7 linked regions of the Mus musculus genome follow. The protein of the gene in region 1 binds, or shares a complex with, the protein of each later gene. Links are inferred from orthologs where the notes say so. Each region holds a gene or a part of one and is shown in the gene's direction. Other genes may lie near its edges. The genes, in order: Chd5, Cdk2ap2, Mta3, Hdac1, Hdac2, Mta2 and Cdk2ap1.

Region 1 (4,263 bases):
TTGAAAAGGCTTAATGTTCAACAACAGAAGTCTTAGGGGCTGGTAATGGAGAGTGGGCATATTCGATTGAGTTTGGGATTTTCTTTCCTGGACTCTTAGTGGTCATGGAGACAAGTGATCTGGAGAGAGCCAGCAAGCCCTCCCAGGGAGGATGCAACTCAAGCCTCAGCAGTCGGAGGCTCCCCCTGGCAGCAGACAGCCCAGGAACCATTTGGATCCTTAGCCACCTTCCTCCTGCTAGCTGGTCTTTCTGCCTTGTGCAGGGGACATTTACTGTCCAGGGAAGTGTAAAAGTGATCTGTGGTACAGAGGGAGAGTCCTAGTGTCCTGCCTGTCCATCTTGGGAGGCTGGGCAGCCACGTCAAGAGGTCATGTCATGAGGATACTCAAACCGGCACAGATTCATACGGTTCCCCAAAGGTGCTAAGACCGGGAAATCCCTTCTGGTGACAGCTCTAGACACTAGAAGCTGTGGGTCTGTAATGCCTGAATGCTCAGCTCAGGCCTGTGTTCCTACCCTCTCAGGTCACGCAGGACCTGTCTCTGCTGGTGGCAGTGAGGTACACTCCCTCGGCGTGTAGCCAGAAGCACGACATGAGGATGACTCGGACTTTACAGGACTTTGTGGGATTGGAGAGCTGGTGACCCCACAACTTCTGTGCTCTTAAAGTTGCTGTGAGACCTTGGCTGCACCAGGCTGAACGCTCTCATTTAAAATTCTAGTCTTGCTCCCCAGGGCTCCAGCATCCAGCTTCACCTCTAACAAGCAGGACTGGCTGGCAGTCGCCAACCCTTCTGCTAGGCGACAGGTGTCCTGAGTGGCAGTCCAGGGCACAGACCATACAGAGCTCCAGGGACCTGGATGTGTTTGAGCTGGACACAGACCAATTTTGGAAAGAGGGCAAGTGTTGGGGGCGGGGGGTGGGTGGGTGGGTGGGTGGGTGGGTGAGAAGCCATGGATTTTTCTGGATAAATTATGCCCACGGTCACCAGAGTGACCCATAAGTGTGGGACACATTTTCTTGGACTTCTCTTTTGAAAGGGGTTTGGAAACGTGGTAGCCTGAAAACGAGGTGGGGTAAGTCCGCTGTGTAAAAGGCTAGTGGGCAGCTTCTGGCTCACCACCCATCCTGACTCTCAGGCCCAAGTGCCTTCGCGGGCAGGGTGGCGACCGCTGGCCCTGTCTGGGGTGTGCGCAGGGGGGTACCACTTGGATTCTCCCTGCGCCTGGGCTATCGAGCTCCCGCAGCCAGCTCGGCCGTCGTGTCCCGGGTCGGGCGGGCACCTCGACAGCTCCTGGCACCCGCCCCCCCCCCCACTGCGCGCTCACTGAGCTGCCCAAGACTAGTCCCCCCAACTTGTTCTCGGCTGTTAACTAGTCGCGCTGGCGTAACGATGGGATGGGGTTGCCACAGCAACCAGACTGGACGTCACAATCCGGGCATGTGTGCCGCCCCCCCGCCGTGCCGCCGTGCCGCGGGCGCTGCCGCCGCCACCCTCGGCCGGCTGCGGGACTCGCGCTGCGGGGCGCGGTGGGCGGAGCGGCCCGGGCTTGGCGGGTGCGGGCAGAGGCGGCCTAGAGCTTGCGGGGTCGAAACGGGGGGGTGGAGGTTTGGGGGGCTGGGGGGGCCGGCGGCCGCCATCTTCTTGCCGAGACCGCCTCGCCCGCCGCGCGGGTCCGTCCGGCAGCGCACGGGTTAAGGCTGGCACCGCGCCCGGCGGGAGGGGGGCGCCCACCTTCCTTCCCCCCCCGCGCCGGGCATGCGGGGCCCGCTGGGCACCGAGGAGGAGCTGCCGCGGCTGTTCGCGGAGGAGATGGAGAACGAGGAGGAGATGTCAGGTGAGGGGGCGCGGGGACCTGCTGGCCCGGGACGCGGGAGGGGCGCGAGGCTGCGGGCTGCGCTCCCGCCCTGCTGGCGCCGCGCTAGCCAAGGGCGCGGGGCCGGGCGAGCTCCCGGGCGCGGCGCGCGGGGCGGGGTGCACTGGGACCCCCGGGCAAAGCCGTGGTGGGGGCCTGCGCGGGCTGCGGAGCGGGAGGGGGCGCGGCGAGCCGGGGTCAGCCGCGTGCCCTTGAAGGCGGCGGGAAGCGCGCGCCGCGGGCGGGGCGAGGACGGGCCGCGCGTGGGGAGCTGGCGATGCCCGAGCCGGGGAGCGCGGGCTCGGCTCCCGGCGCCTGACAGTCGCTCCCCAGCACTTTGCCCAGGCCGCCCTGGGTTCTTTGCGCCCTGGTGCCCGCCGGGTTCCCAGCCCACCCTGCTTCCCTGTCTGTGGGCCTGACGCCCCAGGGCCACCGCCCCTGCCCTTGCCAGCTGCGGCTCAGAATTCAGCCTCCTTCGTGTTTGTGCCTCAGGGGTTACCTTGCAGGATTTTTCAGTTAACTGCGCCCGTCCTGGCAGGGCCTCACCCTGTCACCTGCCCTCCCTCCCTTCTGAGGGGTATCACTTCTTAGCTTCCCAAGTCCATGGCTCCTCCTGGACTTCTGAGGGACTTGTGAGAGGCCAGAAGGGCCTCCTTCTCCCAGGAATCTACATCCCTGAGGACGAGGCTATTTCACACACTCGCACCCAGGAGAGAGCAGCATCTCCCAGCCTAGCATCTCACCAGGGGCCACACCCCCTGCCCTCAGGCACCTCTTGTGCTGGCCAGCTTGTTTGTTTAGTGGATTTAACGCTGTCGCAGGAGCCTGCTGCTCAAACCCTCCCCTTTCATCCAGGCCTTCCACGGGGTGAGGTGTGCAGGGGTATGGTTTCTAGTGGCTGACTGCTCAAGCCCAGGCTGAAGCAGCCAGACCCTTTCTCTCTGAGAGGAAGGCGGCGGTCAAGCGCGTTGAGAAACCTGTGGCTGTTTTCTACTTAGCAGCCTGACTCTTCAAAGATCCCTGGTGGTGATTGGGGCGTGGCCTTTTGTGGCATTGACAGGGACGATGTGCAGCTGACTGTGGGTCAACAGGCCCATTTCTAGGTCTTCCATTACACCGCCAGTGTCCCCTTCTTCTTCCAGCCTGGCCTTGCTTGCATCAGGGTTTAGGGCTTGGTGAGGTCTTGGATGTCCTCAGAAAGGTGCACACACAAGGCTGTTGGGGTTGGATCTTGGTTCAGTTCTTATGCCTAATCTGCCTTTCCCCTCCTGAGCAGGCAGGGGTATTGTCCCTTGGGGACAATCAAGTCCCTTCAGGAGCACTTCCAAGGCCATACAGAGGAGACACTTGGCTTCTGTCTCTCTAGCTGGGAATTCTGAGCCCTGTCCATCAACCACTCCGACTACTTTGCCTCCGGAGCCTCCAGGATCCTAGGCTAGCATCTTTCCAGGTCTCTGGTCTAAGTTTCTGTCCCCCCCCCCCCAGTCCCCCAACCATAGACTCCCTCCAGGACTTCCTAGCCATTGGTCAATGACCCTTCTTTTCTTAGACCCAGCCCATTGGTCCATCTGGTCTTCCCACTGCCGCTTCTCCCCACACAGCCTCACTGGGCTCCAACTCCTGATGCCTGATAGTATTGCTATGGAACCCAGCAGGTGCCATCTTGTCCCGGGGCCCTGGCTTTGACCTTTACCCGACTCCTGTCCTTGGCTCACAAGTTTGTTCTGTCTATGTAGATTCCAGCTGCATTGCATGATGGGACACCGCTTTCCTCCTCACCACAGACTCTCTGGCCCATTGGAGGGGTTATTTGCTCTGGACCCTCTGTCAGTACCCCCAAGCGGAGTCCCTAACTGCAATCTGGACGGAGGGTACCCGAGAAATGGTGCCTAATCGTGAGAAGGAGTCTCTAGGGCATCTCTGGTGCCCTGAATGTGGGAACCTGCTAGCCCAGTCAAGTCTGTCAGCAGTGTTGGCTGCCTCCCCGCTAGGCTAGCTGCCTCTCAGGGCCCTCTTCCGCGTGGTGGGAGGAGCTCCAGGAAAGTGACCTCGTAGCCCCGCCCCCCCGGCCAGATGGGAGGAGCCAGTGTTCCGGAAGCCTCACACTAAGGCCCAACCAGCAGCAGTTGGACTTGGGTTTGAGGGAGTCTGTGCACTGTTTCCTACAGGGGGCTTTGCTTTGGCCAGCCCTCTCCAGTTCTGTGGTGGGTGGGTGGGACTGCTGTGAGGAACAGAGTCAGGGAGGCTCAGAGGTGTGCAGCTGCCAGATTCCCAGAGGAGTGTGCTGCTCAGAGGGAGGACTTGGACTTGGATGGATGGAGGAGGCCTTAAGTCCCAGCAATGTTCTGGTTAGTCCGGTGGTGTTGGGACCAGCCCCTCAGCCCCTCTGCCTCAGTGTCCCTCAC
Region 2 (3,649 bases), on another chromosome or scaffold:
TTCCAGGTTAGCTAGAGCTAGATAGTGAGACCCTTTCTCAGAAAAAAAAAAAAAAAAAAAGTCTAGGGTGTTTTCTCTGACTGTACGTTTGTGTACTACCTGCTTGCTAGGTGCCCACTGAGAACAGAAAGAGATATTGGGCCCCCTGGAAATGCAGTTACAGATGGTTCTGAGGCACTTTATGTAAATGCTTAGAATTCTAACCTGGGTCCTCTGGAGGAGCAGCCTGTCCTCTTACCTGCTAAGCCATCTCTGCAGTCGCTTTTTTAAAAAGTGAGTTGAGGGCTAAAGCAGCAGTTCTGCAGACATATATGCAGACAAAACACTCGTATACATAAAATAGTTTTATTTTAATTTTAAAGTGAATTGATTTCAAGGAAATAGGAACTAGATGGCCAGACCCAGGTGGGAGTTTCATTAATGACGTCAGAACAATAATCAACCATGCTTCAACCCATATGGGGCTGGCTCTCATCTCTATTTCTCTACCCACTTCCAAGTTTACTTTCCAGGTATTACTGTCTTCATGTTTCATGAGAAAACGGAAACCTATTAGGGCAAGAAACTGGCGTGTGACTGTAATCCTTTAGCATTTCCGAGACAAGAGCATCAGGAATTCAAGGTCACCCTCCCCTACCCGGAGAGTTCGAGTTCTGACTGGGCTACTTGAGACCTTGTCTCAATCTCATCCCACCCGCCAAAAAGAGTCCAGGAGGAAACCATTAATGAGGTGTTGAGATTCCAGCCAAGGGTCTTGACCAGGGTCCTGACTTGACCTAACGCAATTCTTGATCTATGATGCTCTATCATTGTCTGTGGAGAGAGTAGGGGACTTAGGGTTCAGTGTCGAGCAGCGTCGTTGGCTGCCTTGGACCCACCTGCCTAGACCGAAGATTCAAACCAATCCAGAGAAGGAGCTTGGTAATGACTTTGGTGAGGGAACCGTTGCCATGGGAACAAATACAGGCCTGAGGCGCGCACATGCGCACAGCCGAAGGGGGGGGGACACGGAACCAGTGAAAGGTGACGTAAAACGCTCGGGGTAGGGCGGAGTGCTCACACTGTGGGAGCCGTGGCCTTGGGAGTTCTGAGCGGAGGGAAGTCGCGAAGCGGTGAGGACGAAGTGTGTTCGGCGGCCCGCCACACACCACCGGAGCAAACCGCGGGGACCAGACTGGCCCGCTGCCGAGGCCCCGCCTCTTGGACCTCGGGACTAATCGGATTGAAAGCGCGCCGGCCCCGGGCCCCGAACTCGCCAATTGAGGAGGACGACTGTCACCGCCCAATCCGGGGCAGACAGGTGCGAGGTCCGGAAGGTGGAGGCCAATCGGCAGCGGTTGCGCCCTGCGGGGGCAAGATTCAGCCAATGAGGAGGCTCGAGTGACAGCTGAGCGCGCCAATCGAGAGTGAGGACCGATCGTGCCCGCCCACCCTTCCGGCCGGAGCTCTATTTACCAGGGGCGTGCAGCTCGCTTGCCAATCAGAGTGCGGCTGAGCTGCCGGACAGCCAACCCCAGAGGAGCGGCCGGCTGGCGGCCGCCGCACTGAGGAGTTGGGATGTCCTACAAACCTATCGCGCCCGCCCCCAGCAGTACCCCGGGCTCCAGCACCCCCGGGCCAGGCACCCCGGTCCCTACAGGTGAGGCTCCAACTCCATCCTTGTTCGCCTTGTCCGGGCAGTCGAGGTCTTGGAGAGAAACCGCTCGAGTTTTGCAATCCGGGGCCTGCTAGACGAGCCTGGCTCAGCCTCAGTTTGCTGGCCTGAGAAGTGGGCGTGGTCACGTAGAGCTTGTAGGTGGAGCGCAGGGGGGAGGAGTGTGTCTCCGAAGTTGTTCAGAGTGGAATGAAGAAGCATGCCGTTGGAGGTTAGTCAAGGGAACAGTCCTGGGCTTGGAAATCTGTGACGAGGCCCTTGTCACACTCTGACCTCTTGCTGGTGTCGTTGCAGCCGGGAGTGTCCCATCGCCATCGGGCTCAGTGCCAGGAGCTGCCGCACCTTTCAGACCGCTGTTTAACGACTTTGGTCCGCCCTCCATGGGGTATGTACAGGTGAGTGTGGCCAAGAGCTTGCTTATGGCTGAGGACAGGAGATCCCCTCGGGGTCTGAGATCACGTCTGTATTTTCTTTTGACACAGGCGATGAAGCCACCTGGTTCCCAGGGCTCTCAGAGCACCTACACGGACCTGCTGTCTGTCATAGAGGAGATGGGCAAAGAGATCCGGCCCACCTATGCTGGTAGCAAGAGTGCCATGGAGCGCCTGAAGAGAGGTAAGTGAAGCCACAGGCCTGCCCTTGCTCTGCCCAGGACACAGACACTGAACTTTAAGACAGTTCAGTAAGGATGGAGGATATCTAGAGTCAGGACAGGACATTTGGGCCAGCCTCGATTGGAACAGAACGTGTACCTAAGGAGGGGTTTTAAATGAACTTTTCCATTTTCAAATGAGTCTGTTTCCAAGAAGGTGCCTGGGAACTCGGATTAGCCAACCCTTAATCCCATCCATCCTCATTAGATTAGAGGTGCTCTTGCTGAACCATGGAGCGGTGGGGGAGTGTCTGCTCTGAAGGGTGGCTGTGGACTGTTTCTGGGGCCCTGTTTATTACTTCCCCATCCTCACCGCACCCCAGGCATCATCCACGCTCGGGCACTAGTCAGAGAGTGCTTGGCAGAGACAGAACGCAATGCCCGCACGTAACAGGAAGCACCTTGACCTCCTCGCCGGGACCTTTCTGGCCACTGCAGAGCGCCTGCTTCTCCCTGGCCTTCGCGCCCCAAGTTGCTTCCTATCCTGGGCTTCCTGTCCTGTGTCCCTTAGTGGGCACCCTCCAGGAACCAGGTAGCAGATCTTCGTCCAGTTGGCTGTACAAACTGGTCTCCTCCCTCTGTGGGAGTGCTGGGAGGCCACTGGGAGTCCCTTCCATGACCTGCTCACAGTGCTGATCTGACGGGAGCTTGCTCCTCTCTGTGGCCCCACCACACAGCACTTACTCCTTAACTCTTAGCCCAGGCCACCTCCTGCCTCTTCAACAGGAGTGCAGAAGACCTTCCTGCCTCATCTCTGGGGCCACAGCCGACTCTTTTTTTGGTGTGTCTTTTACTAAATATGTCCTTTTTGTATAAATAAAAGATGCTTTGGAGTCATTCTCTCAGCCTTTCTGTGTGTGGTTCCTCTGGGGAAGCCTGAGTGGGCAGAGGGGAAGGGCAGAGCAGGAACTGGGAAGGGCGCTTGAACCGAGCTTTGCCTTCCCATCTTGTCCATTGCTACCTCCAGCTCTGCGCCTTGCAGCTGAAGGCCAGACAGAACACCAATGATGTCTGCATAAGGAGGTGCCACCAGGGGGCAGCGTAGGGCTTGGCTGCCTTCACAGCTGGAGGCACTATTGGACAGCCGGAGCCTAAAGGGCCCTTCCTGTAGATTGGCAGGCATGCCTGGCAGGGTGGAAATACCAGTTCACTTAAGCCTCTCCCGTGAACGTCCTAATGCCCCTACACCAGCTCCGCTTTAAAACCATCCTTGGAAGGCTCTAAATACACCGGGTCCCTGACTCCTAAGGGAGGCAGTTAGAGGCTCCTTCCCCCCCACCCCCAGCACCTTGGCTTGATGCTGCTATCCACTGTCCTGACAACTTCCACAAGGCTGGGTGTGG
Region 3 (3,500 bases), on another chromosome or scaffold:
TAAATATTTTGTTATGCCCCCCCCCCAAAAAGAGTCTTTGAGGAAGTAAGTGTGAGTGCACATGGCTGCAGGCAGTTGCACTGAACAGCGAGTGGTGTCCTGAGCTGGGACAGGACCGAACACAATAGAGGAGCCTGGAGAAAAATGGTGTGCCTGGTGTGAAGAGAGTAGTCAGCCAGCCCCAGGGGCAGGGCAGTGCAGTATGGGTACCCATGATTTGAAGAATGGACAAATTTGAAAGAGGAGTCATGGTCTTGAAGATGACAGGTTTCATTTGGATCCAGGGAGCAGCAGGGCATATATGGGGAGACTGGCTATGGGTGCTCAGGAGGAGAGATGGCACCAGCTTGACCTAGGAAGAGCTTTGGAAGCGGTGCTGTTTGGGAGGTGACTGACCTCGGCTTGTCAAGGTTAGGTCCACAGTTAGGTGACTGTTCCTGCGAGTCACCAAGCTCAGAGAAGGTGGCGCAATATTAGGTGAGGCCACTGCGAGTTTGTTCCATCATAAAAGGAGTAAGGAATGTAAGTGCAGCATACACTGAACACACTGACCAGTACACAAAGCCACTGCATTGTGGGCACCAAGAAATGTTTATGAAAATATTCCGTGAAACTGTCCTTCCTCTAAAACACCCTCCCACGGTCTCTCACAACCTGGAACATTTTATACCTGTCATTATCCTCCCTGGACCTGCCTCAAGTTACTATTTACACATAATAATCAGAGTTGTGAACGGTTGTGAGCCACTGTGTGGGTGCTGGGAATCAAACCCAGGTCGTCTGCAAGAACAGCAAGTGCGCTTAACCACTGGGCCGTCTCTCCAGCCCAGCACTGGCCCTTCTTAGACTCAAATCTTTAGTCCTGCATTTAAATGCCAAGTTTCCACATTTCTGGGAAACGTTTCACTAGATTTAAGTGAGTAGGGGCATTGTTTGAGCCAGTCCATGGCAGAGTCCTTTTCAACTGGAAATGTTAACACCTCTTTGGGAACTTGAGTTTCTCTGAACTACTTCCTTTCTTTTCTTTTTTGAGACTCTCTCTCTCTCTCTCTCTCTCTCTCTCTCTCTCTCTCTTTCTTGCTCGCTCGCTCTCTCTCTCTCTCTCTCGCTCTCTCTCACTCTCTCCATAACCCTGGCTGTCCTAGAACTCACTTTGTAGACCAGGCTGTCCTTGAACTCACAGCGATGCCACTGCCACTGTCTGGAGGCTGTGATTAAAGGCTTACAGTGCCAGCCCCGCTTCTCTTCTTTTTGTTCCAAAAATACTAAACAAACAACAAAACCTGTTTCGTTTGTTTGTTTGTTTGTTTGTTTGTGAATGTGTGTGTCCTGAGCTGGGGAGAGGGGTCTCACAGTGTAACAGAGATGAAAGGTTCACTAGCAGGAAGCTCTTCTGGGGCAGATCTTTGTTTCCTATGTAGTGAGTCTGTATTTCTGAATGGTGTGCACTGTGCATGCAGCTGTAGGCACAGCTCTAAGCAGGGGTTAGCCTACTGTCAGCTCTGTTTACATAGTAAGTGCCCTGACATGTGCAGCCTATGTGTTTAAAGAGTTAGAGCTGTGCTGGCCAGTCTGCATTCAGTTTTACCAGCGTCTCTGATGCGTTTGTACTTAGCCTCCTGACCTATGTCTTTTTTTCTCCTAAAAGTGTTTTCTTTTTTTTTTTCAAAGATTTATTTATTATTATACATAAGTACACTGTAGCTGACTTCAGACATACCAGCAGAGGGCATCAGATCCCATTACAGATGGTTGTGAGCCACCATGTGGTTGCTGGGATTTGAACTCAGGACCTTCCGAAGAGCAGTCAGTGTTCTTACCCGCTGAGCCATCTTGCCAGCCCCTGAAAGTGTTTTCTTAAAACAGAAGAGGGAAAAACAAATCTAAAACATGAACTCAAAAGCTTTCTCATCCAATTGCTAATCTGCCTCAGAAAACATAATGTGAATTTTTATCTCGAGCTTGGGACAGGTGCTCCTTGGCTGTGTGTGGCGGGTGGCCCTGCAAAGCTAGCCTCACCCCCTCGGGAGCACTGTAGCGGCCACAGCGTCATCCCAAGCAGGAGAGGAGCCAGGGCTCTTCCAGCCCCACAGCACTGCCCTTACCTTAACACCCAATCAAAGGCTGTCTTTGTCAGGAAAATGTCTGATGAAGATAAAGCCCAGGGGCTTCTGTCTTTCAAAAGTACAGCGAGCTGTGGAGAATTGGCACCGGTATGGTGTCCACAGGAGCCATGCCTTCGCCGCAGAGTGCCTGAGACAGGACTCTGGCTGTTTTATAGCTCTGTTTTGCAAAATGAGTGCCTTGGTTTTATTTTGTTTCTTTTTTCTTATCATTGCACCAAATATACCCTCTTATGTAAGTTCCTGGAATCATGTGTGCCAATGTATTTCGTTTTGTTTTGTTTTTTTTTTTCTTTTTCTTTTGGTTGTTGTTTGGTGTATGTGTTTGCGGTTGTTGTTATTTTTTTTTTTAGGTTAGTGTACAAAGTCCTGGGTCCATCCCAGCATCCTTGTTCGCACCTCCCACCATACTTCCTTTTCATTGTCTCCCTTCACTGCCTCCCATACTTGGGTGCATCTTCACACCCTGCTTTTCCCAGTCTCTGTCTTCCTCACTAAATGGATTAAGTATCTGTTCGTATTTCAGGGAAGGGAAATTAGTAAGGAGGTGCCTGCTTTTGACCTTGTCCTACAAATTGTTTTTATCATCTCACTTTACATTTCATTGAAAGCAGCAAACCAAATCCCAACCAAATCTCCAGCAGCAACGGCAAGGCTGGCACTGTGAATGGAGCTGTGGGGACCCAGTTTCAGCCCCAGAGCGCCCTCCTAGGGCGAGCCTGCGAGAGCTGCTACGGTAAGTCTGCTCAGGCCAGGCCTGGCTAAGTGTGGGAACTGTCCTCTGCTGTGGGGTGGGTTACTGAGAAGGTTCTAGAAAGCATGCCTGCTGCTCAGAGACAGGGCAGCGTCTCTTCAGTGAGCGGGTGTCCGCTCCCCCCCCACCCCCACCCCCACACACAAGCCCACGCTGGGATCAGTGGATATTGGCTGAGCGCTCTTGCTAAGGTGAGTGTGCATTGGCTCTGGTTTTCTTCTGTGGATCTATGCTTGCTGGCAGGGTTTGTTTGTTTGTTTGAACTGTATGCTGTTATATTCACTTTGTGCTGTGATACATACCAAATCCCCTCTTGGAGTTCCTCAATGTCCTCTGACAAATTAAATGTGTCTGCTACTTGTAGCGAAGAGGCAGGTGTGGGGATAAGAGCTTACAGCCCTCAAGCTCCCAGGGCACCAGGTGGGGAAAGGCCAGGTTATGATATTTGCTTTTGGCCTCGGGCCTTACTGTGCACACCTCTGCTTGCAGGGTTCTTATGTGTGCCCCTGTTGTATGGGGCTATGGAGATGGTCTGGCCCGCAGCCGATACATTGTATGTTTTAAATCTCAAACAACAGCAGAGGCTCTCCTCTCTGTCATTGTTGCTATGGGTCAGGTTCTTG
Region 4 (3,500 bases), about 23 Mb from region 1:
TCACAGCTGGGATGCATCACACTTTTATGTGACTTGCGTTTGGAGTGAGGGATTGCGGCTCCGAGGAGTCATCTTCCCCCTTAGCACTGTGACTGAAGGCAGTGGACTCGCCCCAAAACACTCCATGAAAGCCTGAATTTTACGTGGAACAGTTAATGGACTTGGGCCCCTCCTAGGGCTGCCCCATCTGTCAGCATGAATACAGTGAGATCGGTTTGCCCTGCCAGTCGCCCTTAGGTGGGAAATGCTACTAATTAAGTTGTTTGATACCACAAACATTCGTGTAAGTCACGTTTGCTGTTAGAAGTTAACTGGAAGAAGCTCTCTTCTGTGACTTGCCCTCCACGCTTTCTAGAGAGGACAGAATAAAGGTAGAGGAGTATATAGTAAAACTCTGGGCAGAGTTGAGCGAGGTGGGTTTTACTTCTGTGACCCACCTCCCGGCGTGCTCTTAACTAGGTGATAGCAGTTTTCTCTCGGGAAAATTGAGAGACTGGGAGTCGGGCTTCCTCTGGCCTTGCAGATCTCATGGGCTCAGCTTGTCTCACAGCACCGCTGTCTTTCTCCTTAGCCTTCCAGCCCCATCTTTGAATCTCCTTCTTTTTGTCTTTCAACTTGAATGTCCCCTTTGATTAGGACATTGGGGCTGGCAAAGGCAAGTACTATGCTGTGAACTACCCACTGCGAGACGGCATTGACGACGAATCCTATGAAGCCATCTTTAAGCCAGTAAGTGCCTTGGCTCACCCCTTGGGCTGTGTTGGGATTGATGAAGGGGACGATAGCAAAGCATCTGTTATGGCCGAGAGAGAGGTGGTTCCTCCAAGTGGCTACCTGGAAAGGAAGTGTTTACAACTTTGGCTGCTGTGTGGTATCAGGAAACAACCACATAATTTGTTGCTGCCGTCTGTCTGTGAGTCTGGCCTTTTGCTCACAGTACAGTAACTTGTAAGGTCTTTGTGGGAGGTAAATTTTATGAACCCAACAGTCTGTAGTCAGTTGTGTGACAAAACTTTTTCCAAGAGTGATGTAACACACATGTCTATTCACCACACATAGGGAACACACAACTGACCAAAATACAGATCCCACCAAAACCCAGCTTAGTGAGCCACTGAGGATCAAAAACTGGGGTTACGTACAGGAGTGGTGGTATATAGGAATAGAAATAGGTATATAGGTGGTACCTATAGGAATAGAAATGTCTTAAAGATAGCTGCATCACCAAAGCCCTCCCCACAAAAGCTCACTACCCAGCCTTCAGGCAGCTCAACAGGCTACAGAGGCATTTCCGGGAGCCTGAGTTGATCTGAGCCTTTTCCAGGCAGCTCAGCATTTTCTGTTTCTTCCAGGCAGCCTGTCTAGTCTGAAACTCTTTTTTCTTTTCTTTTCTTTTCTTTTCTTTTCTTTTCTTTTCTTTTCTTTTCTTTTCTTTTCTTTTCTTTCCTTTCCTTTCCTTTCCTTTTCTTTTCTTTTACAGCTTTTACTGCTTTGTCAGGGGAAGTCCTAGTGAATCTGTTCAGTTTCAGGGATTTCCTGAAGCTATGTTGAGTTGTGTACCTTCCTGCTAAGGAGCTTCCCTGCAGGATGGAATCAGAAACACAGCACTGATGTGTTTTTTCTTTTGTTGTTGTTCGTGACCATTTAATTTAAGCAGAATATTTGGCAAAGCAGAGATTACATGAGAGAAAGATGGGAGCAGGCAGGTCTGACAGTGATGGCAGCCCTCAGTGTTCTGTGTCCCACATCGCTGGAGTTGGCCACTCAGAGATGATTTGTTCTTTTCATTATGGTCTATTTTCTGAGCTTTTCATGGTGTTTTGGTTTGGTTTTTGGTTTTTCGAGACAGGGTCTCTCTGTTTAGCCCTGGCTGTCCTGGAACTCACTCTGTAGACCAGGCTGGCCTCGAACTCAGAAATCCGCCTGCCTCTGCCTCCCGAGTGGTGGGATTAAAGGTGTGCGCCACCACGCCCGGCTCGTTTTTCATGTTTCTTAAGCCTTTTACTACTCTCCACATTTTAAGAAATTGGGGTCTATTCTAGTCTTTATAGACTAGCTTGCCTGGAAAAGCCCCCAGCTGTTTATCCTGTCCAGAGACTGGAAAGGCAGTGTGGCATGTTGTACAGCACCTGCGGTTAGAGTCCTCAGCATCCTGACCAGAGCTTGCGTTTTTACAGGGGTGCCTGGGTCCGGGAGAAGGTAGGCTGAAGTGCAGGGGCTCTCACCACTGCAGTCCTGGCCTGGGACTCATTATAGACCAGACTGGCTTCTGACACACAGAGCGTCCTGTCTCTGCCTCCTGAATGCTGTGACTAAATTGTGCCACCATGCCCGGCCTTGAGCTGGATTGGTTAATAAGTTTTGTGGTCACACAAATGCCTGCATGCGCTTAGTAGTAAAGATGACAGAAGCTCCACGTACAGCCTCCTGAGGAACAGTGTGTGCTTAGGTTTGAGAATAAAATGTACAGAACTGGGCTGGTGAGATGGCTCAGTGGGTAAGAGCACCCGACTGCTCTTTCGAAGGTCCAGAGTTCAAATCCCAGCAACCACATGGTGGCTCACAACCATCCCTAACGAGATCTGACTCCCTCTTCTGGAGTGTCTGAAGACAGCTACAGTGTACTTACATATAATAAATAAATAAAATAAAAAAGTAAAAAAAAAAAAAAAATGTACAGAACTAGATGACCTATAGGGACAGAGGAGTGGAGCAGATGCAGCGAGAGGTTGGGAGGTCTCTGAAAGGAAGCAACTTGGGAGGTCGGCAGTTATAAAAAGGGAAAGAGGAGGGAGTTGACAGACCAATCAAAGCTCAGTTGTGCGAGTTGTGATAATCTTTACTTTAAAGTCAGAAACCTCTTGTCTACCACACAGTATCGGGGAAATAAAAGGAAAAAAAAAAAGCTGGACCTCTTTCTACCTCTGGACCTCACATGCTTTTTTTGAGATTGGTCATAACCAAGGTGTATCTTTTTATTTTTTAGGTCATGTCCAAAGTAATGGAGATGTTCCAGCCTAGTGCAGTGGTCTTACAGTGTGGCTCAGATTCCCTGTCTGGGGACCGGTTAGGTTGCTTCAATCTGACCATCAAAGGTGAGTCCAGGTAGCATGCACATAGGTGGACAGGGTCTGCCAGGTTCCCCTGTAAACCAACATCCCTTTTCCTTCCAAAGGACACGCCAAGTGTGTGGAGTTCGTGAAGAGTTTCAACTTGCCCATGCTGATGCTGGGAGGAGGTGGCTACACCATCCGGAATGTTGCTCGCTGCTGGACTTACGAAACAGCGGTGGCCCTGGACACAGAGATCCCTAATGGTATTAGCTCCAGGGCCAGGTTAGGCTGGGTGGGGGCTGGATGTCACCTGCCTTCATTTACAACTTTTCCATTTGCCCCTAGCCTTTCATACTTTCCACCGAGGTTCCTGCCTGTTATCTTGTGGCAGGCAAATCGTAGCCTCAGTTTTTCCGTAGTCTTGTGTTCTCCCCATGGTGTTGGTCA
Region 5 (4,012 bases), on another chromosome or scaffold:
CTCCCAGGGTCTTGTTAAAACTGTAGGCTTGGGAGAGAAGTGGTTGTGGTGAGGGGTACCTTGGAGTAATTCTAAGTCTCTTGGGGTTAAGCCTGGAAGATTGGTGCTTTATGTATTAAGAGTCCTGGGGATCCGAAAGTAGAAAAATAATGATTTTTGTTAGTGACTCAGTATGGTTCTTACTTCAACACCTCCTCTTAAGGGAGGAAGTAGTGTGTGCATGTAGCTGGAATTTTAAATAATAACAGTTCAGGTGTGTGAGTATTTCATTAGACAGTCAGCTTCCATCCTTTATGCATCCTTTAAGCAGGTTGGTTTAGACAGGTGCACAATAAACGCCAGGCTATTAAACACAGGGACTCCAATATTTAAACCAATTCTTTTGAATTGTCTGGCTAGAAGCACATCCAGTCTGATAAAGTAGACAAAGCACGTGGAGTCTTGAAAAGTTCGACACCCCTTCGGTCCTCAGATGACTATTATTTAGCAATTGAGAGCACTATACTCCTTCTTTTGCCCACACCTATAAGGAGATGGACATGGCACGTACATCCCAGCACTTTTGACAGCTTTAAATGGTGTTTATTACGAGCAGGTATGGATGCTGGGAACAGTGCTTATACCGAGTCCTGGAAATGCTTATTAAACCCAGGAGATACAAGGAGTCTGCCATTAACCTCTCTGTAACTCAAGAGTAGTTATCAGGAGCCAATGAGGGAGAACAAGAGAATTGAAACACGTGGGAATATCGGACCACCAGGTAGCGGGTGTGTGTGTGGGGGGAGGCAGCCCTAGGGAGCTCTCAAGCCGAGGCCCCTCGGGGTCCCCGCGGCACGTGGCGGGCTCGGGCCGGAGCGTCGCGGCGGTGGGGGAGGGGAGCGGCATGAGCCCTGGAGGAGGGGTCTAGACTGCCCGGGATTCGTTTGAGCAGGCGCGGAGTGCGCAGGCTCGGCCCAGGCGCAACCAGTGCGCGTAAGACCGAGGGGTGAACCTCACTGCTGCGCGTCCGGGTCTCTGAGCAAGGGGCTAAAGTCCGCTTGTGCGCACCTCCGGACTGTGTGTGACTACCCGTAGAAACACTACTGTCGCCCTGGCCGGTGGCGTCCACTCCGTCCCGGTCGCTCCCTCCCGACCGTAGTTGTGGTGCCCCCCTCCGCGCAGCCGCAGTGGTCGCTCCCGCCTCGCAGCCCCGCCGCCCGGAGGCCTACCCCTGCCGAGTGTCGCGCGTCGGCGCCGCTGCCTATCCCGCTCTGTGCCCTACGGCCCTCCCGGCACCCGCCGCCGTCCCGCTCCGGGCTGCCCTTGCTCCGAGGGCTGCAGCACCGGCCGTCCCCGTCAGCCCTCTTGTCTGGCCGCCGGGCCGCGGCGGGCGGGAGCAGCCGGAGGAGGAGCCGCAGCCGGGAGGCGGCGGCCTGAGCCCATGGCGTACAGTCAAGGAGGCGGCAAGAAGAAAGTGTGCTACTACTATGATGGTGAGTGGCCGAGGAGCCTGCAGCCGGGATGCGGGGAGGGCGCGGCGGGGTGTCGGGGGTGGCAGCCCGCGGGGACACCAACACGGCCTACCCAGCGGTGGCGTCTCGGGGACGCCCGCCTTCGCTCCTCTCGGGTCCTCTCGGGCACACGCAGGTTTAGGGTGCACTGCCTCTGACCGGTCTCCCGAGGAACCCCAGTTGGCACCCTGGGCCTGACTGCACAAAGCTGGCGTCCTGGAGCTCCGCCCCACGTCCCTGTCCCCTCCCCCGCTCTCCCGGTCCCCCCTTCTCGCCCCCGATCTGTCCGCGCTGCGCTTCCAGCCTCACCCGGGACCCCGGCACCCGGGTGGGGCTGCGGAGGAGTTACTGCTGGCCGGTGGCCAAGTTCGCAGAGCGGCGCTGTCTCGCTGGTGTTTTGCGTGGACTACATCCCTCGCCTTTGTTCGCGTTCTTCGAGCTCCACTTTCTCAGGGTTCAAATGGAAGGGCTGCACTTCCTCGGTGACAATTAAGGGGTTTTGAGTTGGAAGTAGGTAGGTCGTTGGGAAGTGGTAGGAGAGAGGAAGCGTGCAGTTGTTCTTGTTTGATGGGTCCTGGCATGTCTCTATGGGAGGTTATTACCTCCCCCTTCTTTGTTGCTCTTTGTTCGATCTGCTATAATACCCTGCTCTGGGGGGTTAGGAAAGAACACCGGCATCTTGCTTAGGAACTCTTCTACTGTGGTGAAGACCTTGCTGCAGGAAACTTTGAGAAGTGGACTAAATATTCACAATGCAGTGAACGGTACAAGGTGACTGTAAGGATTTTCTAATTTGGAGTATAAGTAGTAATAGTCTCTGGGTTCAGTTACACCAAATGGAATGGTGCCCTGCCTATACAGATTTCACCCAAGACATCAATAGATAAACCATTGAGAGAAGTAATAAGGAAATTTGACAGAACTTTCGAAGCTCATTGATTGAACGCTTGATCTCCACAAAGCAATATGAAATTGGGAGCGTTTTCTGTAGTTGTATTGAAGTCACAGTGTTTGGAGAGGTAGATTAGAGAACTAGGCTGAATGAAACACTTAAACTTGTTAAAATAGTCGTGCATTTTCTTGGTTTGACAGAATCTTTTAATACAAGCTTTAAATAAAATAGCCACCTGTCATTGGCTGGAAAACCAAAAACCTTACAGAAAGCTAGGCCAAAATGGAAAAGGCTGTTTTGTTTTTTGAGACAGGCTCTAAGTTGACCTGGCTGTCCTGAAACTCACTGTGTAAATGAGGCTCTAACTCATAGAGATCCACCTGCCTCTGCCTCCCAGATCCTGGGATTAAAGATATGTGCCACCATGGCCTGGCTTAATTGGAAGTTTGAGAGGACTCAAACTGTATTGCATGTTTATTTGAAGTTACACCATCATGGAGAGCAGAGATGGGAGAGCATGTCGGTTTAAACATGAGTTACATTATGACGTTGGGGTCATAGCAAAGCCCTGACCTGCATTCTCTGATCCATTGGAAATTACAGCCTTTCTAAAGTAAAGTCCTGCTCTTGTTAGAGTCAGGGGAAAGGTTGAGCTGTTGGGGAACAGCTCAGTCTCTTCAGCTGTCAGCTTCTGTCATCAGTGATGAACTCTAAGTCCCATTAACTTTCACCAGGCCTGATGGAGAACCAGAGAGGACTCTCTGTCTTGAACAGCTCCTTCCTGGCTTCATGCGTAGGGATGAGCCTTTGCTGAGGAGTGGGATAGACATTGGTCATGGAGATAAGGTGTGGAGGGAGGCATTTTTCAGTCATGTGATTTTCGACTTATGCCCATGCAGCTGCTTTACCTAGTTGTGAGTGACCAACTGTATAATTGATGGTGGAAATCTGCTGAGTTATCTATCTGTGGTTCTTACTTGACTTGTTTTTAGAATGTACTTAACTTATTTTTATTCTGACTATTTGCATTTGGGGGACGCTAACAAAAATTGAAGATATATAAATTGGTGTCATAGTTAAGCTAATTAACATGTCATAGCATGCTAGACTACAGAGAATTCTCTGCAGAGAATTCCCTTCACGTCTGACTTGATTACAGAAACCCTCTTCTTGTTAGTTTATAAAGGTAGCAGCAATCTTTAATTGTCTTTATTAAATTCTAAACAAGAGGAGCAAGTAAAGTGACTTTTGTACCAAGAAAGTGCATGACTTTCAGACGCATGCAGGGTTGGGTTGGTGGAGAACCCGGCCAGTAGGATTGGGGCTCGAATAGTATACTAGTCTTATGTTAGTGCTTTTAACTTGGTTGGTAGGGGAGGAGATCAGGAAAGGAGGAGGTTAACGGGGCACTAGGCACCCAGAGAGCCTCTTGACAACTCATGTGAGTGTTTTCCTGCTAAGACTGTGTGCTTAGTGAAGAATACTTCTGAAGATTGAATATGGTTTTCTCCGTGTGTGCTGCAGTCTTCAGAATTGTACTTGTAGGGTCTCTGTGCCACTGATCTGTGAACTTTCAGATAGGAGCGTATGAACTATCCCTAAACCTCACAAGAGAAATCAGAGTTGTTCT
Region 6 (4,263 bases), on another chromosome or scaffold:
AAGCCAAGTCAGTGAGAACTTGGGAAGCACACAGTGGGGTTCATAGTGGACGCTATGCCTATGATCAGTTCATGTCGTCAAGTGAGGGAAGAATGACGGCTGAGTAGGCGATTTCCACCTAGGGGATGTGGCTGGAGGCTGCAAACTGCTGAGGAACCGCTATGAGAGCAGAGACCGGGAGTGGGCTACCTATACCTGTGTGCTGGGCTTCCACGTCTATGGTGAGCCAGGATCTGGAATCCGTTAGGAGGGCTGGGGAAACAAGGAAGAACCCATTCTGCCCTCAGAATCCTGGGCGTGTGCCACCTCGGGGTGGGGGTCATAGTGGCAAATCCAGGCTAGGAGGCCCCTTGGGATTGTCTGGAGCGCAGTGGCAACCTGAAGACCTGAAACACTGCAACTCTAGGTTGTGGTAGCAGCCTGACTCAGGCCACCTGTTGTGTTAGGTGTGTGGCCTGATGGCTCTGATGGGACAGACATCAACTCCCTTTGCCGCTCCCACAATGAACGGGTGGTGGCTGTGGCAGACGACTTCTGCAAAGTACACCTCTTTCAGTACCCATGTGCTCGAGCCAAGGTGAGGCTTCAGGGGACCATTGGGCCCAGGTGGGTAGGTTTGGTACCCTGCCATTGCTGCAACCAGTTGTTTTTTTTTTTTTTTTCTCTCATCTAGGCGCCAAGTCGTATGTACTCAGGCCATGGCAGCCATGTGACTAGTGTCCGGTTCACGCACGACGACTCATACCTTGTCTCCTTAGGTGGCAAGGATGCTAGCATCTTTCAGTGGCGAGTGCTGGGGGCAGGGAGCTCTGGGCCCGCTCCTGCCACACCATCTAGAACGCCCTCTCTGTCCCCTGCCTCCTCCCTGGACGTGTGATTGATGCTGGATGGTCTTGTCCCTCTGGTACTGTGGTCTGGCCCCACCCTGGCCAAAACCCCTAGGACCAAGGACAGTCTTTTCCTGTGCTGGCTTTTTCTTTGACTTCATACATTCCCAATTGCGCATTTTTCTGGAGGGGCTAACCACCCCACTGCACACAAAATAACAACAGACTTGCTGGCTGAGCCAGGCAACCCAGCTCCGACACCCTCTGCTCGGTGAGGGGCAATAAAAAGAAAAAAGTAACTGCCTGGTGCTTTTGTGCGGCGGGTCCCCTCAGGGGCCCAGTTGTGTTAGGATGAAAGAAAAAAGTGCAGGGCGGGAAGAGAAAAGGGAGTTCAGACCAAATATGCAAATAACAGGCAAAGCGGCTTGCAAATAACCTCAAGAAGAGTGAGGGCGCGCGCGCGCCTTTCGACGCCACTGCCGGGGAGCTGCTAGGACCCATAGTGCAAAGAGTTAATTCCGGCTCCTCACCGCCCTCAGGGGCGGGGTCGAGCTGCAACGGAAATAACCGAGCGCGAGGCCGCGGCTGAGCGAAAGGAGCCGAGTTCCTTCCGGAAGTGGCCGATCTGCGGGGTCTTGCTCTCCGACCTGAGCCGAGCGCTGGGCCTTGTTCTCCGGATCGGCCGAAGGTGTTCCGGAAGGAGGCGAACCCGGACGCGGGCAGGGCAAACCTTGCCAGCGGTTGGCACCGCACGACGTCTGCTGGGACTCGGTGAGGACGCTAGGAGCTGGAACCTCACTCCGGTCAGGCAGGAATCGAGCTCGTTCCGGAAGAAGCCGAGTAGACCGGAGCTGGCCTCGGTGTCCCGGCGTGAGGCTATAGCAGTGTCGTCGTCGCGCGGGCAGTGATGAGCCGCGGCGGCTGAGCGAGCAGAGGTGCCGGCTGCTCGGGCCCCATCGACACTTCCGCGAAGCGTCAGCCACGCGCTGGGGGCTTCGTCTGGAGCTGAGCTTTGCCCCCGCGAGCCTCCGGGACCTCTTTGTGTGGCCGGAGGCGGCGGCGGGAACGGCCATGGCGGCTAACATGTACCGGGTGGGAGGTGAGTACCCTGAGCGGAAGAGGCTGAGGCCGGGATCAGGGAGACTCGGTGTCCGCAGGCGCGGGGGAGCCACATCTGGGGTCGTGTGGGCCGCGGCACCGACCGGAACCGGAATCAAGAGCCATGGTTCCGCGGCGGCGACGCTATCGGGCGCAGAGTCTACCGCAGAGGCTTACCTGCAGCCGTAACGGTGCTCTTGAGACCTGTGACTGGATCGCCGGGCTGGAAGTGGCCTTGGCTTTGGAAGGGGCCCGAGTGACCCACCGTCCGGCCAGCCGCGCTAGGGGCTAGGCGCGCAGGGGTTTTCTTTTCTGTGGCGGCTTGTGCGTTCGCGAAGGTGGGGCCTGAACAGTTTACTCAATTCTCCTATACAAGGATGCAACTTGAGTGCAAAGTTGTATGGACTCCAGGGAAATTCTTGTTCTTGTTTCTTAAGTCTCACTTTTGAGTGAAGATCTGACTTTAGAACTGGGTGTTGCAGGGGTAGGGGGTAAAAACTCATTTCCTTTTTCTTCTTTTTTCCTTGTTTCTTTTTAGACAAGGTTTATTCTCTGTGTAGTCTTGGCTGTCCTGGGACTCATACTGTAGACCAGGCTGTCCTCGAACTCAGAGATCCGCCTGCCTCTGCCTCCTGACTGCTGGAATTAAAGGTGTGTGACACCACTGCCTGGCAAAGTATTTCCATAATATCTCTTTTCCTTCCTTCCTTTTTTTTTTTTTTTTTTTTCTTTTTTTCTCTCTTCTCTTCCCCCACCCCCCATTTCCTTTTTGAGGCAGGTTTCCCCCTTGTTTCTTTTGAGACAAGGTTTCTCTGTGTAACCCTGGCTGTCCTGGAACTTGAGCTGTAGACTTGGCTGGCTTTGAACCAAGAGCCTGCTTTGGTCTCCCAGACTGCTGGGATTAAACGCATATGCCACCACTGTCCAGCTAATGACTAGTACTTATTTTCTTAACTCTCTCCTCTTGCTCATCTCCACTTCATCTCTATCTAGAATTTTGTCTCATTTTGGTCCACACAGAGCGACTTTTTCATCTGGGTGCCCTCTCCTCTGATCCTCTTGTTTCTTCCCCACCTCCTACAGATTACGTCTATTTTGAGAACTCCTCCAGCAATCCTTACCTGGTTAGACGGATTGAGGAGCTCAATAAGGTGAGTGGAGTTGGTTTTTTTTTTTTTTAATGATACAGGGTCTCTCTATTATGTAACCTTGGCTGCCTGGAACTTGCTGTGTAGACCAGGCTGATCTTAAACTCATGGAGACCCTTTTCATTGGTTCTGAAATTATCTTTGAGTATTAAGTCTTTACTGCTAAGTTTTTCTAGCTCTTCTACTTAGACCCTTAAGGAGATATTGCTTTTGACTCTGCGCACTTCCACTCCCCCACCTCCCCCCAGCACCTCCACTTTCTTTTGTTGTTGTTGTTGTTTTGTTTTGTTTTGAGACAGGGTTTCTCTGTGTAGCCCTGGCTGTCCTGGAACTCATTTTGTAGACCAGGCTGGCCTTGAACTCAGAAATCCGTCTGCCTCTGCCTCCCGAGTACTGGGATTAAAGGCGTGCACCACCACACCCGGCATGCATCTCCACTTTCAAATGGCCAATTTTCCTTCTCGGTTTTTCTCCCTCCTTTAGACTGCAAATGGAAATGTGGAAGCAAAGGTTGTCTGTCTTTTCCGGCGAAGGGATATTTCTAGTAGCCTCAACAGCTTGGCTGACAGTAATGCTCGTGAGTGTCTTCATTCCTTACCCATCTCCCTTCCCCAGGATCTGAGGACTAGACATGTTCCTGCAGGTGTTTCCCCTGGCAGCATGCCCAAGGGAGGGTGTGAGTTTGGGGGGGGGTGGGAAGTGCCTGGTCTGCGGAGGGAGGCCTGTTGTTACACGTTGGGGTTGGAAGCAGGGCGGGCAGACCATGATAAGGAAAGCCAAAATGAGGCTTATGTGTGTGAGTGGAGAGATATTTAGATAGGAAATGAAAAGAGCTTTAGAGAAGCAGGCACTCGGGGACATTTTGGGTACTTTGGGACAGTGGTTAGTGAGTGATGGCCAAGGTGAAGAGGAAGATACTGTTTTGAGAAGTCTGCATAACAGAGAGGCTTATGCTGTAGTCTGGAGGCGATGCCAAAACATTAATAGAGATGATAAGCTAGGAGCAGTTCTCTTGGACTTCCCTGCCTTCACCATTTTTCCTCTCCATTCCAGTTAGTGTCATTTTTACTTATTTTTGCTTTGTCTGCATTTTCTCTATGATCTTTATATTGTAATTTTTTTTCACTTAGTTTTATCTTTTTTCTTTCCTTTTTTTTTTTTTTTTTTCTTTGTCAGGGTTTCTCTGTGTA
Region 7 (4,061 bases), on another chromosome or scaffold:
ATTTGTTTCTTTATAAGAGAAAAATGTCACCAGGAAGCAGTTTGCCAGAAGGAGCCTAAGGGTGCTGCTGGTGGTGGTGGGGGAGGGTGGAAGAGGAGGTCCCCTCTTCTGCACCTTTCGTCCCAAAGAAGGGGGGATTAAGACCCCGGTGGTGGTCCCCTTTTTTTCTCTAGCGGAGAGGCTGACGCCGTTGTCACCAGATCCACAGATGATGTCTAAATATGACTAATTAAAAAAAAAAAAAACCTGCAAACCATGGCGATTAAAAACAACAGAAAAAGGTGGGCGTTTTATGTAATGTGATGAGCATTACTATGCAGGCAGAACTCCAAAATATAGTACCTTTGGAAGGTTATTCATCACATCCCAAATACGTTTGGTTGTGACGTTTCAGTCAGTTTAGAGATGGGCGGGGGCGTGTGTGGGGCGGGATAGGGTGGGGTGGGGAGGGGAAGAGGGGTCCAAAAAAAAAAAAAAAAATGGAGTGCAAACTCCGGGGAGTCGAAACTTTGCCAAGTTCACTCTTGCCTCCTTAGCCTATAAAAACCGTGTCGGGCACACAGTAGGTGCTCGGTTGAAATATTCCAAAGAGTTCGTGTGACAAACGTCATGACGGATGCAAGAGCGAATTTTCTAGTGGAGGTGTCGTTGTCTCTCCATCCAGCTTTTGTCAGTCTCAAAGGCGTCTTGGGTTCCCAAAGGGTTAAAAAAAAAAAAAAACAAACTCACTTAATCCAAGCAGAGACATGACATTTTTTTTTTCCCCGTCTCGAAATAAATGTCAAGAATGGGTTATTCTAATTCTGGGATAGAGCCAGACGTGGGCATCTGGAATGATTTCCGTGAATTAAAAAAAAAACAAAAAAACAAAAAACAACAAAAAAAACCAAAACCAAAAAGAAAAAGAAACCCAAAAAAACCAAAACCAAATCACCCCAATCGCCACCATTTTCTCCAGGTAATTTTCCATCCCTGCCCCCACAGTCAAGAGACACTGAGAAGAAGAAGAAGGAAAAAAAAAAGTACTTCTTCCATCCTCCCTGGCTGTTTAAGAAAAGAGGAAGGCGCGGGCCAATGAGCGGCGCGCGGGAGGCCGGGGCGCGGCGGGGGCGCCGCGGGGACCGCAGCCCCCCAAACTTTGGCAAGTTGCGGGCGGCGGCGCAGCGCGGGGCGCGGCCGCGAGAGGAGCCGCCCCCTCGACGCCCGCCGCCCCCTCCCGGTCCGGCCCCGGCCCAGCACCGACCGGCTGGGCTCAAAGTTTGCGGCCGCCCCTGCGCCGCGCGCCCGATGTATGGGTGATCTACTGCGGCGGCGGCGGCGGCGGCGGCGGCAGGGTGAGGGACGGCCATATTTGCCGGCGCGGCCCGAGCCGGCGACAACAAAAAGTGCGCGGGCTCCCGGCGGGCGCTCGGACGGCTGCGGGGACGTGGGGCCGCCCGGCCCGGGCCTCGGCCTCGGCCTCGCCGGCGCGCTCGCGGCCTGGCCCGGCTCTGCCCGGCGCGCCCGCCGCCCGCGGGGATGTCGTACAAGCCGAACTTGACCGCGCACATGCCCGCCGCCGCCCTCAACGCCGGTGAGTGAGAGCGAGCGAGCGCGGGCCGCGCGCGCCGCCCCGCGCCGCAAGTGTCGCCAAGTTGGGGGCTCGCGCTCCGGGCCGCGGCCCGGGGCTCCCCGGAGGCGCGCGGTGCCTTGGGCGGGCGTGCTGGCCGAGGATGGTGGCGCGAGGGAACGGGGCGGAGGGAAGGAGGTGTCCCGGGCCGGGGCAGCGGGAACGCCACCGCCGCCGACTCAGCCGCGCCGCCGCCGCCATGATTCCGCCGCCTCCGCTGCGCTGCCAAAGTTCGCGGTGCGCCCGGAGCTCGGCGGGGCAGCGGCCGGGGGCTCCCGGTGTGAGCGGCGGGGCGGCCGCGGATGGCGGGGAAGCGAGGACGCGGGCAGCCGAGCGAGGAAGGCTCCCCCCCCCCAGCTCCCCCCCTTTTTCTTTCCCCTTCCCTTAGGCTTTTTGGGCGGCTCGGCGAGGGCCCCTGCCGGCGGGAGGCGGGCGACGCAGTGAGCAAGGAGCGGGGCTCGGAGGGTCGGCGGAGCGGGACAGGCTGGGGCCGAGCCGGGTGCAGGGCGGCCGCGGGCCCGGGAGGGAATCTGGCCAGGGTTCCGGGCGGCGGGCCCGGTGGGCAGGGGCCGCTTCCTGGCGATGAGAGCGACTCCCGGGTTCCTTCCCCCGGCCCTCGGGAGACCCCTTGGAAGAAGTTGCAGTGCCCCGGCCTCGTGGGTTCTGTGGGCGGCATGCTGCGGCTCGCCGGTCCCGGGGGTCCCCATCTCAGATCTCCCACGTGGGGACGTCCCCGCAGGGCCGCGCTGCGCAAGCCAAGTGGACCTGGTCTCCCTTCCCCTCCGGGCCTGGGCGCCGCCGAGGAAACTCTTGCAAAGTTCCCAGGCAGCTTTGGGCTGTGGCTGGGGGCTAGCCCCGGACCCCAAGGGAACCCGGAATAGGGATGTGAAACTGACTTCCAGAGGTGACTGGCTTTGTGTCCAATTCCAGTACCCTCTCCTCCCAGACATTTGGCTGTGAGCAGACCACCCCAAGTAGTCTGATGCCCCAACAGATGCCAAGTAGTGGGGACCAGGAGGGATAAGGCCTTTGGGAGGAGTTGGGGGTAGAAGTTGGTTATGGTCGCTGTGTGTTAAAAATCCCACCCGCGTTGGCACTTCCAAGTTGGAGGTCTTGTGTCCAAATGTTGATTCCAGAACTCCAGAAACCCTCAGAGGGACCTGGAAAAGCTCTGGACGTGTGTTTTAAACCACTTCTCTGCTCTTTGGGGTTTGGAAAAGGTTGAGATTTAGGGTGCCAGCCTGGGAGAGTTGAAACGCTAGCACGTGGGCACAAAGACCCCCCCCCCCCAAGAGCATGCAGTCACTGTATCTTTTCAAATGGTTTCACTCCCTTTGGGTGACAGGATTTGTCGTCAGATATGATTTTTGCCTCTCAGTCTTCTTGGTCAGTGTTTGGGATGGAAGGGCAGTAGGTTGCGTTGCCAGCCCTAGGGAGACCAGAGACGTAGGCTTGATCTGGGCTAGTTTCCCGTGTGTCTTACACTGGGGACCTTTTGGGGTGTGGGTCCCAGTGCAGACCGCCCCTGGGACTCTGAAGCCCTGTTCTGGGCTTGCTAGCACCTGTATTCAGCTGTAGTTATTTTGCCAATGGGGAATGCCAGGATGCGTGCGGGGGTCTCCAGGTGTTCGGCATTTTGGTGGGGGCCCGCCCGCTTGCCGGTATTACTTTGCAGAAAGCCCTTCTCTCCCCTGCCATCTGCATCCAAGATGGACTCTCACAGTGGCTCCTCCGCCTTCCCTGTCATCATCTCTCACGCCCTCCAGGCCTGCCTCCTGCTCACTGAGTTGCCAAGCTGCGGCCTGGCCGGCAGTGGCAGTGGCGGAGTTAGACAAAGCCCCCGCCTTCCCCCGCCCGAGAGCCCCCCCCCCCCAGGGCGCCCCAAGTGGCGGGAAGGCCGCCAGCTCCCCAGGCCCAGGCCGCTCTTTGTCTGGCATGGGGGCGGGGAGCTGAGCCTGGCCCCAGGAGCTTCCTGGCCTCTGCCAAGCCCTCTCAGCTCTCTCACACTGCGCTCATTGTCTGAGATGCTCCACACCGGCTGAGCTGACGTGGAACCGCCTCCCTGGCCTCCTTCAGCCCAGGTGCCGGTGTCTTCCGGAAGAAGGGGGCATGATGGGCGGAGGAGCCCCCTTCCACCCTGAATCCCTCCCGGGGGGTGGGGGAGACAGACACCTTCCCTAATACTGCATATGGTGCTGGCTTTGACGCAAAGTCAGGTTTATCTCCACTCCTCCGGGGTGGTGGAAAATAGGCTTGAGGTCCTCCACCAGTATGGGGGGTACTTCTCATTCTTTCTGTATCCCCACTCCTCTAAGGGCATTCCCAAAGCCTTTAACCCTTCCATTGGGAAATATGGCCTCAAACAAGTAGAGAAACTGAGGCCTGGAAGAGCCTTGGCTGGTCCTACAGCCAAGTGGCACTGCTGGGACAGACCCCCAAGTCCTGGAGAAAA

The links.
Region 2: Chd5 (region 1) and Cdk2ap2 share a complex: the UniProt entries of both Homo sapiens proteins name them as parts of the nucleosome remodeling and deacetylase (NuRD) repressor complex. The link is inferred for Mus musculus from reciprocal best matches to the Homo sapiens genes CHD5 and CDK2AP2.
Region 3: Chd5 (region 1) and Mta3 share a complex: the UniProt entries of both Homo sapiens proteins name them as parts of the nucleosome remodeling and deacetylase (NuRD) repressor complex. The link is inferred for Mus musculus from reciprocal best matches to the Homo sapiens genes CHD5 and MTA3.
Region 4: Chd5 (region 1) and Hdac1 share a complex: the UniProt entries of both Homo sapiens proteins name them as parts of the nucleosome remodeling and deacetylase (NuRD) repressor complex. The link is inferred for Mus musculus from reciprocal best matches to the Homo sapiens genes CHD5 and HDAC1.
Region 5: Chd5 (region 1) and Hdac2 share a complex: the UniProt entries of both Homo sapiens proteins name them as parts of the nucleosome remodeling and deacetylase (NuRD) repressor complex. The link is inferred for Mus musculus from reciprocal best matches to the Homo sapiens genes CHD5 and HDAC2.
Region 6: Chd5 (region 1) and Mta2 share a complex: the UniProt entries of both Homo sapiens proteins name them as parts of the nucleosome remodeling and deacetylase (NuRD) repressor complex. The link is inferred for Mus musculus from reciprocal best matches to the Homo sapiens genes CHD5 and MTA2.
Region 7: Chd5 (region 1) and Cdk2ap1 share a complex: the UniProt entries of both Homo sapiens proteins name them as parts of the nucleosome remodeling and deacetylase (NuRD) repressor complex. The link is inferred for Mus musculus from reciprocal best matches to the Homo sapiens genes CHD5 and CDK2AP1.

The regions. Positions count from the first base shown.
Region 1 is NC_000070.6:152,337,191-152,341,453, forward strand, and holds the start of Chd5 (chromodomain-helicase-DNA-binding protein 5), read left to right. Parts: upstream 1-1,463; 5' UTR 1,464-1,761; coding exon 1,762-1,840; intron 1,841-4,263. UniProt on the Homo sapiens protein: ATP-dependent chromatin-remodeling factor that binds DNA through histones and regulates gene transcription. May specifically recognize and bind trimethylated 'Lys-27' (H3K27me3) and non-methylated 'Lys-4' of histone H3.
Region 2 is NC_000085.6:4,095,869-4,099,517, forward strand, and holds Cdk2ap2 (cyclin-dependent kinase 2-associated protein 2), read left to right. Parts: upstream 1-1,482; 5' UTR 1,483-1,557; coding exon 1,558-1,639; exon of another isoform or gene 1,640-1,843; coding exon of another isoform or gene 1,844-1,865; intron 1,866-1,948; coding exon 1,949-2,049; intron 2,050-2,136; coding exon 2,137-2,269; intron 2,270-2,629; coding exon 2,630-2,697; 3' UTR 2,698-3,149; downstream 3,150-3,649. UniProt on the Homo sapiens protein: Acts as a component of the histone deacetylase NuRD complex which participates in the remodeling of chromatin.
Region 3 is NC_000083.6:83,786,184-83,789,683, forward strand, and holds part of Mta3 (metastasis-associated protein MTA3), read left to right. Parts: intron 1-2,734; coding exon of another isoform or gene 2,735-2,737; coding exon 2,738-2,859; intron 2,860-3,500. UniProt on the Homo sapiens protein: Acts as a component of the histone deacetylase NuRD complex which participates in the remodeling of chromatin.
Region 4 is NC_000070.6:129,518,647-129,522,146, reverse strand, and holds part of Hdac1 (histone deacetylase 1), read left to right. Parts: intron 1-636; coding exon 637-729; intron 730-2,986; coding exon 2,987-3,095; intron 3,096-3,175; coding exon 3,176-3,316; intron 3,317-3,500. UniProt on the Homo sapiens protein: Histone deacetylase that catalyzes the deacetylation of lysine residues on the N-terminal part of the core histones (H2A, H2B, H3 and H4).
Region 5 is NC_000076.6:36,973,332-36,977,343, forward strand, and holds the start of Hdac2 (histone deacetylase 2), read left to right. Parts: upstream 1-1,212; 5' UTR 1,213-1,420; coding exon 1,421-1,472; intron 1,473-1,540; exon of another isoform or gene 1,541-2,004; intron 2,005-4,012. UniProt on the Homo sapiens protein: Histone deacetylase that catalyzes the deacetylation of lysine residues on the N-terminal part of the core histones (H2A, H2B, H3 and H4).
Region 6 is NC_000085.6:8,940,457-8,944,719, forward strand, and holds the start of Mta2 (metastasis-associated protein MTA2), read left to right. Parts: upstream 1-1,463; 5' UTR 1,464-1,898; coding exon 1,899-1,926; exon of another isoform or gene 1,927-1,934; intron 1,935-2,016; exon of another isoform or gene 2,017-2,576; intron 2,577-3,008; coding exon 3,009-3,076; intron 3,077-3,556; coding exon 3,557-3,650; intron 3,651-4,263. Other genes in the region: Eml3 (echinoderm microtubule-associated protein-like 3), read left to right, coding at 123-221, 447-577, 674-877. UniProt on the Homo sapiens protein: May function as a transcriptional coregulator. Acts as a component of the histone deacetylase NuRD complex which participates in the remodeling of chromatin.
Region 7 is NC_000071.6:124,351,829-124,355,889, reverse strand, and holds the start of Cdk2ap1 (cyclin-dependent kinase 2-associated protein 1), read left to right. Parts: upstream 1-1,261; 5' UTR 1,262-1,518; coding exon 1,519-1,573; intron 1,574-4,061. UniProt on the Homo sapiens protein: Inhibitor of cyclin-dependent kinase CDK2. Also acts as a component of the histone deacetylase NuRD complex which participates in the remodeling of chromatin.